2 linked regions of the Sus scrofa genome follow. The protein of the gene in region 1 interacts with the protein of each later gene in a pairwise test. Links are inferred from orthologs where the notes say so. Each region holds a gene or a part of one and is shown in the gene's direction. Other genes may lie near its edges.

Region 1 (4,347 bases):
GAGTTAGTTATAGAATACACTTTTTTTTAAATTAGGTCAGGCATAACCTCCCCTAACTCCTTGAGTTTTACCTCAACCCTTTACCCATTGTCTCTGGTAGGAGAGATTGAGTAACCTTCTAAAAACCCACCACAACCCACCAGGTTCCAGGTACAGTGGGGCTTTACATGCATTATCTCATTTAATTGTTTCAACAGTCCTAAGGTAGACATCATCACTATCTTTTTCCCCCATGTAAGGAAAGTGAAAAGTCTGCTGAGTGTACAGAGCTCACACTTTGAACACTAAGCTGTCACTTTCTATGTGCATCCGGACACCTGGGACTCACCTCTTTAAAGCATTTAACCATTGAAGCAAAAAACATGGCAAGCTTTCGAAGGGAAAGCATGATGCATTATGCAGAATTCTTATCCTACATGGCTGAAGCTGAGGCTGGAATCGTTCGATGCAGGTTCCTTCCTTTGGTCAAAACATGTTTACTTTCATGGTCATGTTGAACTACAGGCCAGTAAAATTAAGCTCAGGTGCCAGCCATCTGGCAGCTCCCAATAAATGCTCTGGCTACGCTACCACTGGACAAACCAGCAGTACCCTTGGAATAAAAACCGCAAAAGCCACTTAAGTGTGTGTCCAAATGTTTATTGGTCCTTATTCAGGAAAATATATATTGATACATACATATATTAGTTTATTAATCTCATTCAACATCTTTTCGAGGTAATGAATATTAGTTATCTTACTTTACACAGGAAGGAGCTGAACCCATTGCCCAGCTACGCGCAGTCAATGGGGAAGAGTGTAACTCAGTAATCCCAAATTTCAGAATTTCTATGAACTTGCATGCCCTCTACTTCCCGGAAACTGCCTGGCCTACATTTCTTCCTCTCCTAAGTTTCTAAATCCAAACTGAACTTGGACTGAAAGGGAACAGCAGGCTAGGAAGGAGTCGGAGGTGGCCAAAGTCACACTCTCTCCAAAAGCCTCTTCCCTTGTAGTCCCGCTGCTCAGCACTTAGCTCGGGTGCCAGGACTTTTTCAGAGGCCCCAAGCCTGCGCTGCGCCTCCCCCTTCAGATCTCGCTTACCGTGACGGAACGGCGTCCTACGACTCCAGGCCTCAGCCACCTGCTTTTTCAAGGTTTCCTCCGTGACAGCATCCGAAATATTCGCCATCACCTCCTTCTTTACTTTTTTTCCCGCCCGACCAGGGCCAAGCTCAGTCGACCGTTTCCCATTCATCTCTTCGCAATGTACAAGACCCACGCCACACTGATCAAGCAATTATTTTCCTACAGAGACCTTCCAGAATGCCGACTTTCCGTGGTTCCCAGGGCTATCCAATAGGAAGTACCAAAGAAAGAGGAGGCGGAACCCATAGCTGGTTTACCAATAGGAGCGCCAGATATTGCGGCCATCCCACCAGCGATTGGCTCAGTGGTGCTCGGTCGGGCAGGCCACCGCCTCTCTACTTCCTGCCGCCAGATGCTTCGGGTTCACTTCCGGCGTACGTACGCCTCCTCTTGTGCTCGCTTGTTAATGGCGGGCGGCGGCTGCTGAGTGGGACGCTGAGGACCGCTGCCCGCACAGGAAAAGTCTCCCTGCCTCCCTCTTTCCGCTCGCTGCTAGTACCGGGAGCTCGCTAGCATGTCTGTGGTGCCGCCCAATCGCTCGCAGACCGGCTGGCCCCGGGGGGTCAACCAGTATGGCAACAAGTACATCCAGCAGACCAAGCCCCTCACCCTGGAGCGCACCATCAACCTGTAAGTGTGGCATGGCCCTAGCACGCTGCCTGGTCGGCATCACCTTCCTCGTGAGCTCTCCTGGAGGCTTCAATTTTCTCCTTCCGGCGCGCCCCCGGCGGGCTCCGCGCCTCCTCACTATCCACACTCTAGCTCTGCGGGATGCGCCTTTCTAGTTCCCACAGGCTCCTTCCTCGCCCTCCAGCACCGCGGGACTTGAGTCCTACCTGAGAGGGTTTTCTCTTTTCTGAAAAGAAGGCTTATTCACGTGCCTCTGCAGTCATTGTAGGAGAAAAGCCTTTTGCCTTGAACTCGTTCTTTCCCCACCTCTCTGGAGATAACCAACCGCAAACCGTGGTTTTCTTTCTTCAGCACCATGTATTTGACATTGTTCTGAGTGTTTTATTTGGTATGCGTGGTGTAATGTAACGTCGTTTTTGCAGTTTTTCGCGTTACTCTAATAGTAAGCTTTCGAGATCTAGCTATAACGCGCGATTTCCTTTTTTTCCTCTTTTACTTTATTGCGGTTTAGCTCCTGGATATACCACATTTTATTCATGCCCTTAAGCATTCACATGTCCTTTTCTGCCGCAGCAACAGCATTCAAGCGCCCGAAAAGGACCCAACTTGGGAAGGTACTGGGGCTTTCATTGTGGTTGGACTTTCAGACCATGAAGACTAAAATGTAGCTTCAGAGAACCCGTTGTGGGCCGCATTTTATTTTCAGTATCTTTCTGTTTAAGCTCTTCAAGCCATTGCATTTCGAATTCACTCTGGAAAGTAATCTCACAGTGGCAGGGAATTGTGGCTCAAGAAATTATCAGTATATTAAAAAAAAATCATTTCTGAGAGTTTGGGAGGCACCATGGTGCTGACCCTAATGAAGGAAAACGGCCAGTTTATGCTGGTCAGTATTTAAAAGGTGCAAGGATTTACTGATACTGGTGTTTTGGTTGGACACTTTAGATTATTTCTGTTTTATATTCAAATAAACTTTCCTTCCTCAAAAGCTATTTGAAATTGAAAAGATGGTTATTGTTGTTTAATTTGTGTAAATAGGTGCCGGCTTGGAAATTTAGATAATAAAAATGTTGGGTTTATGAAATCTGAAATTTGTAGATTGTTATATATACATGTTAATTTTGTAGGTGTTAGATGTTAAAAGTAATAGCATTTAGGAGTTCCCATCGTGGCACAACGGAAACGAATTCGACTGGAAACCATGAGGTTTCGGGTTCCATCCCTGGCCTTGCTCAGTGGGTTAAGGATCTGGCGTTGCCATGAGCTGTGGTGTAGGTCACAGATGTGGCTCTGATCTGGCATTGCTGTGGCATAGGCCGGCAGCTGTAGCTCTGATTAGACCCTTAGCCTGGGAACCTCCATATGCCACGAGTGTGGCCCTAAAAAAGCAAAAATAATAATAGCATTTAAATTACATGTCACATTTTTAAAAAATCCTTATACTATTCCCATGAAGTGGAAAAGGCAAATGTTCTTTTAAAAAGTATGAAAGCACAACCTCTGTATTACTTTCAGTGGTAATTAAGGCTAGAACTCAAAGTTTACCCTTGATTTACTTTTTTTTTTTTTTTTTTTTTGTCTTTTTGCCATTTCTTTGGGCCGCTCCTGCGGCATATGGAGGTTCCCAGGCTAGGGGTCCAATCGGAGCTGTAGCCATTGGCCTATGCCAGAGCCACAGCAACGCGGGATCCGAGCCGGGTCTGCAACCTACACCACAGCTCACGGCAACGCCGGATCGTTAACCCACTGAGCAAGGGCAGGGACCGAACCCTCAACCTCATGGTTCCTAGTCGGATTCGTTAACCACTGCGCCACAACGGGAACTCCCTTGATTTACTTTGATTGCTGGATCAGTTCATATCAGGCCATCATATGGAAGACACTTGATGAAATGTTTTAATTTTTGCTCCATTAAGGTTAGGGATTGATGGATTTGCAGTACTTTTCCTTTCCTACATAAACACAGTAGTCAGAAGTGTGTTGTGAACTCAGTTCATCTGGGTGAGTAACGGTCTGAATTGAAAAGTTTTCTCTCCAGTATATTTTATTAGGAAATGTTGCATGAAATACTGCATGAATGCTTACTTTGTAGCAGGCAGTGGGCATAATAATGCTGGTTATAGTGGTGAGGAAGTTAGGTATAGTCCCTGCTTTACCAAGCTCACAGTATGATGGAAATAGTACATGTGTCTTGGGTTGGCACTCACAGCTGAAAATTCTTAAATTTCTTTCTTTCTTTTTTTTTTTTTTTTCTTTTTCTTTTGCTATTTCTTGGGCCGCTCCTGCGGCATATGGAGGTTCCCAGGCTAGGGGTTGAATCGAAGCTGTAGCCGCCGGCCTACACCACAGCCACAGCAATGCCGGATCCGAGCCGCGTCTGCAACCTACACCACAGCTCACGGCAACGCTGGATTGTTAACCCACTGAGCAAGGCAGGGACCGAACCACAACCTCATGGTTTCTGTTCAGATTCGTTAACCACTGCGCCACGACGGGAACTCTGAAAATTCTTAAATTTCATCTTGATGGCATCTCTTCATTGATGTGAGAGCTGGCTTTTGCAGTAGAGATGTGTTATAGCTATCTTTA
Region 2 (3,888 bases), on another chromosome or scaffold:
ATGCTGAGGTGAGTGAAAATGGTGAAGGGGGTCAAAATTTACAATCTTCCAGTTATAAAATAAATAAGGCATGAGAATGCAATGTATAGCATGAGTACAGTTAATAATACTGTATCATATTTAAAAGTTGATAAGAGAGTAGACCTTAAGAGTCCTATTCGAAGAAAAAATTTTTTTTAATCTAAGTATGGTAATGGATGTTAACAGGACTTGGTGATCACTTTACAATATAAACAATATCAATTAATGTTGTACACCTGAAACTGTCAATTATACCTCAATTTAAAAAATTTTAAAGCATACCTCTCCGTATGAACCCAACACCAGTTTTATTAGCTTCAAAAGACACAAAACGGCAATACAGCACCTAGCCAGAGAGGAGTTAACTCAAGAAATTTTTTAACATCGCAGCTGCAGTTTCAAGGCATTTCCACCCAATCATGGGGTCCCTTAGTCACAAAAAATAAAGTTGAAGTGGAAAGTTCCCCTATATTCCTAATATACCTTTTATGCTTTGGAAGAAAAAACAAAGAAAATTTACTCATAATCCCCAAACCCATTCCTCTCTGCACGCACAAGTAGAAAGCACTGAAGTTAGGTTCCCAGATTCCAAATTCAGGTTCGCAGTAACTGCGGAATCTTAGGTGTTACCAGCCTACACCTTAGTTTTGCCAGTTGCAAAATGGAGATAATAGTACTTACCTTTTATGCTGTGTGAGGATTAAATGAATTCTGGTAGAGTGTGGTTCGGTGCTTGGAACATAGTAGGCGCTCAAATGCTACGGCAACGTTGCAGGTTTCTCATTTTCGAGTACATTCCCTTAGTATCTTATCCGAGACTGCGCTAAGCCCCAGAACCTCCAGGCTAAAACCTAGCTCCCGCCTTCAGCTGGACACTGCCGGCTGGTGGGGACGCTGGCGACGGCATTAAATGACTGCTTAAGTAGCAGAAAGGATTAATGCCTATTAACCTAGCTTTCTCCTAAAAGTATTTCTACTGTCCCCAAATCCTGAGTTTTTACCGAAACCCAGCGAGTTAGCATCTTCAGCTGCCTAGCAACTTTCTGAACTTGCAAATGAGCGACTTATGTTTTTGCGCAGGCGTTTTGGGTGAATTGTAGCGGGAGGTCCTAGCACCGCCTCTTCCGGCAGGCGCGGGCGCCGATTGGTCCTCGTGACCAGTATAAGAGGCTGCGCGCAGGCGCGAGGAATCCCTTTCCTCAGCTGCCGCTAAGGTGCTCGGTTCTTCCGAGGAAGCTAAGGCCGCGTTGGGGTGAGGCCCTCACTTCATCCGGCGACTAGCACCGCGCCTGGCAGCCCCCACCTAGCATTGGTCCGCACCATGGCTTCCGTCTCGGAGCTCGCCTGCATCTACTCTGCCCTCATTCTGCACGACGATGAGGTTACGGTCACGGTAAGTGTTGGCCTGGGCTGGCGGCGAGGCGGCCTACGGGTGGCCGGCTCCCCACCCTCGAGGGCGTCGCGGGCAGGCCCTTAGGGCTGGAGCCGCGGCTATCCACACCACGGCACAGGGCCGGAGGGATCGGGCGCACGTGCCGGGCGGCCTGGGTCTCGGCCATGTGCAGGCCCGGGAGGGAGTGGATTTCACTTTCGGCGTCGCGCTCTGGCTTTGAGAACCTTTATTTGGAGAAACTTGTGCAGCGCGTCGGCAGGCTCATCTGTAGCTTGTTATATCCCAGGACTTTTTATACCTCTTCTTGGTGTGATTGCTTTGCCTGTGGTTCTGTTAGTAGGCCTTGTGGGGCTTGGCCGCGTGGTGTGGAGGGGAGCACTCGAGCCCTGCTCCACTTCTGGCCTTGCCTCGCGACTTAAAATAGCTGCGTGACTTGAGCAAGACCCAGCCTGGGAAATGGCAGGGATGGACTCGCCGCCTAGTAAAGTATCTGGCATACAGGAACAGAGGCTTTTTTCTTTCTTTTTTTTTTTTCTTAGTGACATTCTTCACAAGAGTGTAAAAAACGGTCGCCTTAAGCCTAGGTGCAGTGCCAGTAGGATATTTGAACTGGTTAAACTGGTTTTGTACCCAGGTTTTGAGTCATTTGCTTTCAATTTGCAGTATTTTGGAGACATGTATGGAAGCTATACATTACTCTGATGGATTGTTATTTTATTTGTTTTAGGAGGATAAGATCAATGCTCTCATTAAAGCAGCAGGTGTAAATGTTGAGCCATTCTGGCCAGGCTTGTTTGCAAAGGTAAGGTGATGGCGGCAGAATGATTTGGAGAAACTAATTTTGGAAGACTTACTGATTTATTAAGTCAGGTATTAATTTAATCTCCAGGAGTGCCAGGAGGCCCCATGTTCCCCTGGACTTGTCCAAGTATAGGCAGTATTTCCTCACATTTCTATCTCTAAGAGCTAATTAAGTTTTTGGTGTCATGTCTTATTTTCTGGTCTCAGACTTCACTTTCTTCTGTTATAAAACCACGATAGAATATGTACTAAGCAGATAATCCCTTCATAAAAGGATCACCCAGGAGATAATAATATTTGTGCTATTCCAAGTAAACTGCCACCATAGAAATTGGTGCGGTGGTCTTTTACTGAATACTTAAAGACTAGTGAGTACAGCATTCCTACCCAAGGAACTTGGAAAGAATTCCTAGTTTGAGTGTTTTAAGGAAGCTTAGGGTGTCTTCCAACTCGTTAAGTATTTTGGGGCCAGTTTTTTCATCTATAAAAGTAAGCAATTCAGTGACTCTTGATTAAAGTATAGCTGTCCTGTCTAAGTAGCAAACAAAATGTCACTGGCAGATTCCAGCAAAGGTGAAGAAAGAGAAATAGGTACAGTGTTGGGATTGATTACTAAGTTCAAAAGGAGTTCCATTTTTCCCTGGTGGGTACTATAAGAAAAGAACAGAACTGAACATTAACCTGTATATGCATGTGTTGCAGGCTCTGGCCAATGTCAACATCGGGAGCCTCATCTGCAATGTGGGGGCTGGTGGACCTGCCCCAGCAGCTGGTGCTGCACCAGCAGGAGGTCCTGCCCCAGCCACCACTGCTGCCCCAGGTAGGAAACTTGTTTCAGGAGGGAGGAGTGTGGAGATTGAGTATTATGGGCAAAATTGTTCTTCATTTGCTAAGAGTAGCTGATATATAGAAATCCTAAATCCAGAGGCATAGTTTGATAAGGGAAGTTAAGGGTATTTTTGACCATGTCAGTTGAAAGGCCTGGAGTTTGAGAGGTAATTGACTTTATATTAATTTTTTATTTTTTATTTTTATTTTTTTAGCTGAGGAGAAGAAAGTAGAAGCAAAGAAAGAAGAATCTGAGGAGTCTGATGATGATATGGGCTTTGGTCTTTTTGACTAAACTTCTATAACATTCGATAATAAAAAGCTGAGCTATTCACTGATGTTGGTCTTGATAATTCTGGGGGTGTTGCTATGTAAAGATAGCCACTGGCTTTGTCTTTTGCCATGGCAGAAACTCTGCAGCATCACAAACTGTATGGGGAGGCAGGAGAAGGTTCAGATTGTCCACATTACCCACATGACTTCATGATTACAGAGTTTATCCTCTATACCTGAATCTGAGTTAGAGTCACTAGACCTCAGATTTAGAGAGCCCCTTGGATAATTTCCAAGTGTGATCCTGGCTAAAAATTTTTGACCTGTGCTGAGCAATATGAATTAGAATATTAATTGTCACATCCCTTGGGTTTAGTTCAACAATACTGAAGGAGTGGGGGAAGTTCAGGTTAAGGTCTCAGTTATACCAAGTGAATGAAGCCAAATTTCAAACCTGTATTTTGAAAAGCTAACAAGTAGAATAGCTTTTGGGGAGGATGTGACAGAACAATGTCAAGTGTAAATTGGTTCACTTTTCAAAGTGCCAGGGACCAACCTAGGACTTGGATTTA

What was found. The genes of interacting proteins can lie anywhere in the genome.
Region 2: the proteins of NUDT21 (region 1) and RPLP1 interact in a two-hybrid assay, tested with the Homo sapiens proteins (2 studies listed by BioGRID and IntAct). The link is inferred for Sus scrofa from reciprocal best matches to the Homo sapiens genes NUDT21 and RPLP1.

The regions. Positions count from the first base shown.
Region 1 is NC_010448.4:29,338,363-29,342,709, forward strand, and holds the start of NUDT21 (cleavage and polyadenylation specificity factor subunit 5), read left to right. Parts: upstream 1-1,530; 5' UTR 1,531-1,642; coding exon 1,643-1,758; intron 1,759-4,347. Other genes in the region: prolyl 3-hydroxylase OGFOD1, read right to left, coding at 1,084-1,237. UniProt on the Homo sapiens protein: Component of the cleavage factor Im (CFIm) complex that functions as an activator of the pre-mRNA 3'-end cleavage and polyadenylation processing required for the maturation of pre-mRNA into functional mRNAs.
Region 2 is NC_010443.5:167,294,884-167,298,771, forward strand, and holds RPLP1 (60S acidic ribosomal protein P1), read left to right. Parts: upstream 1-1,200; 5' UTR 1,201-1,342; coding exon 1,343-1,414; intron 1,415-2,141; coding exon 2,142-2,216; intron 2,217-2,917; coding exon 2,918-3,035; intron 3,036-3,258; coding exon 3,259-3,338; 3' UTR 3,339-3,381; downstream 3,382-3,888. UniProt on the Homo sapiens protein: Plays an important role in the elongation step of protein synthesis.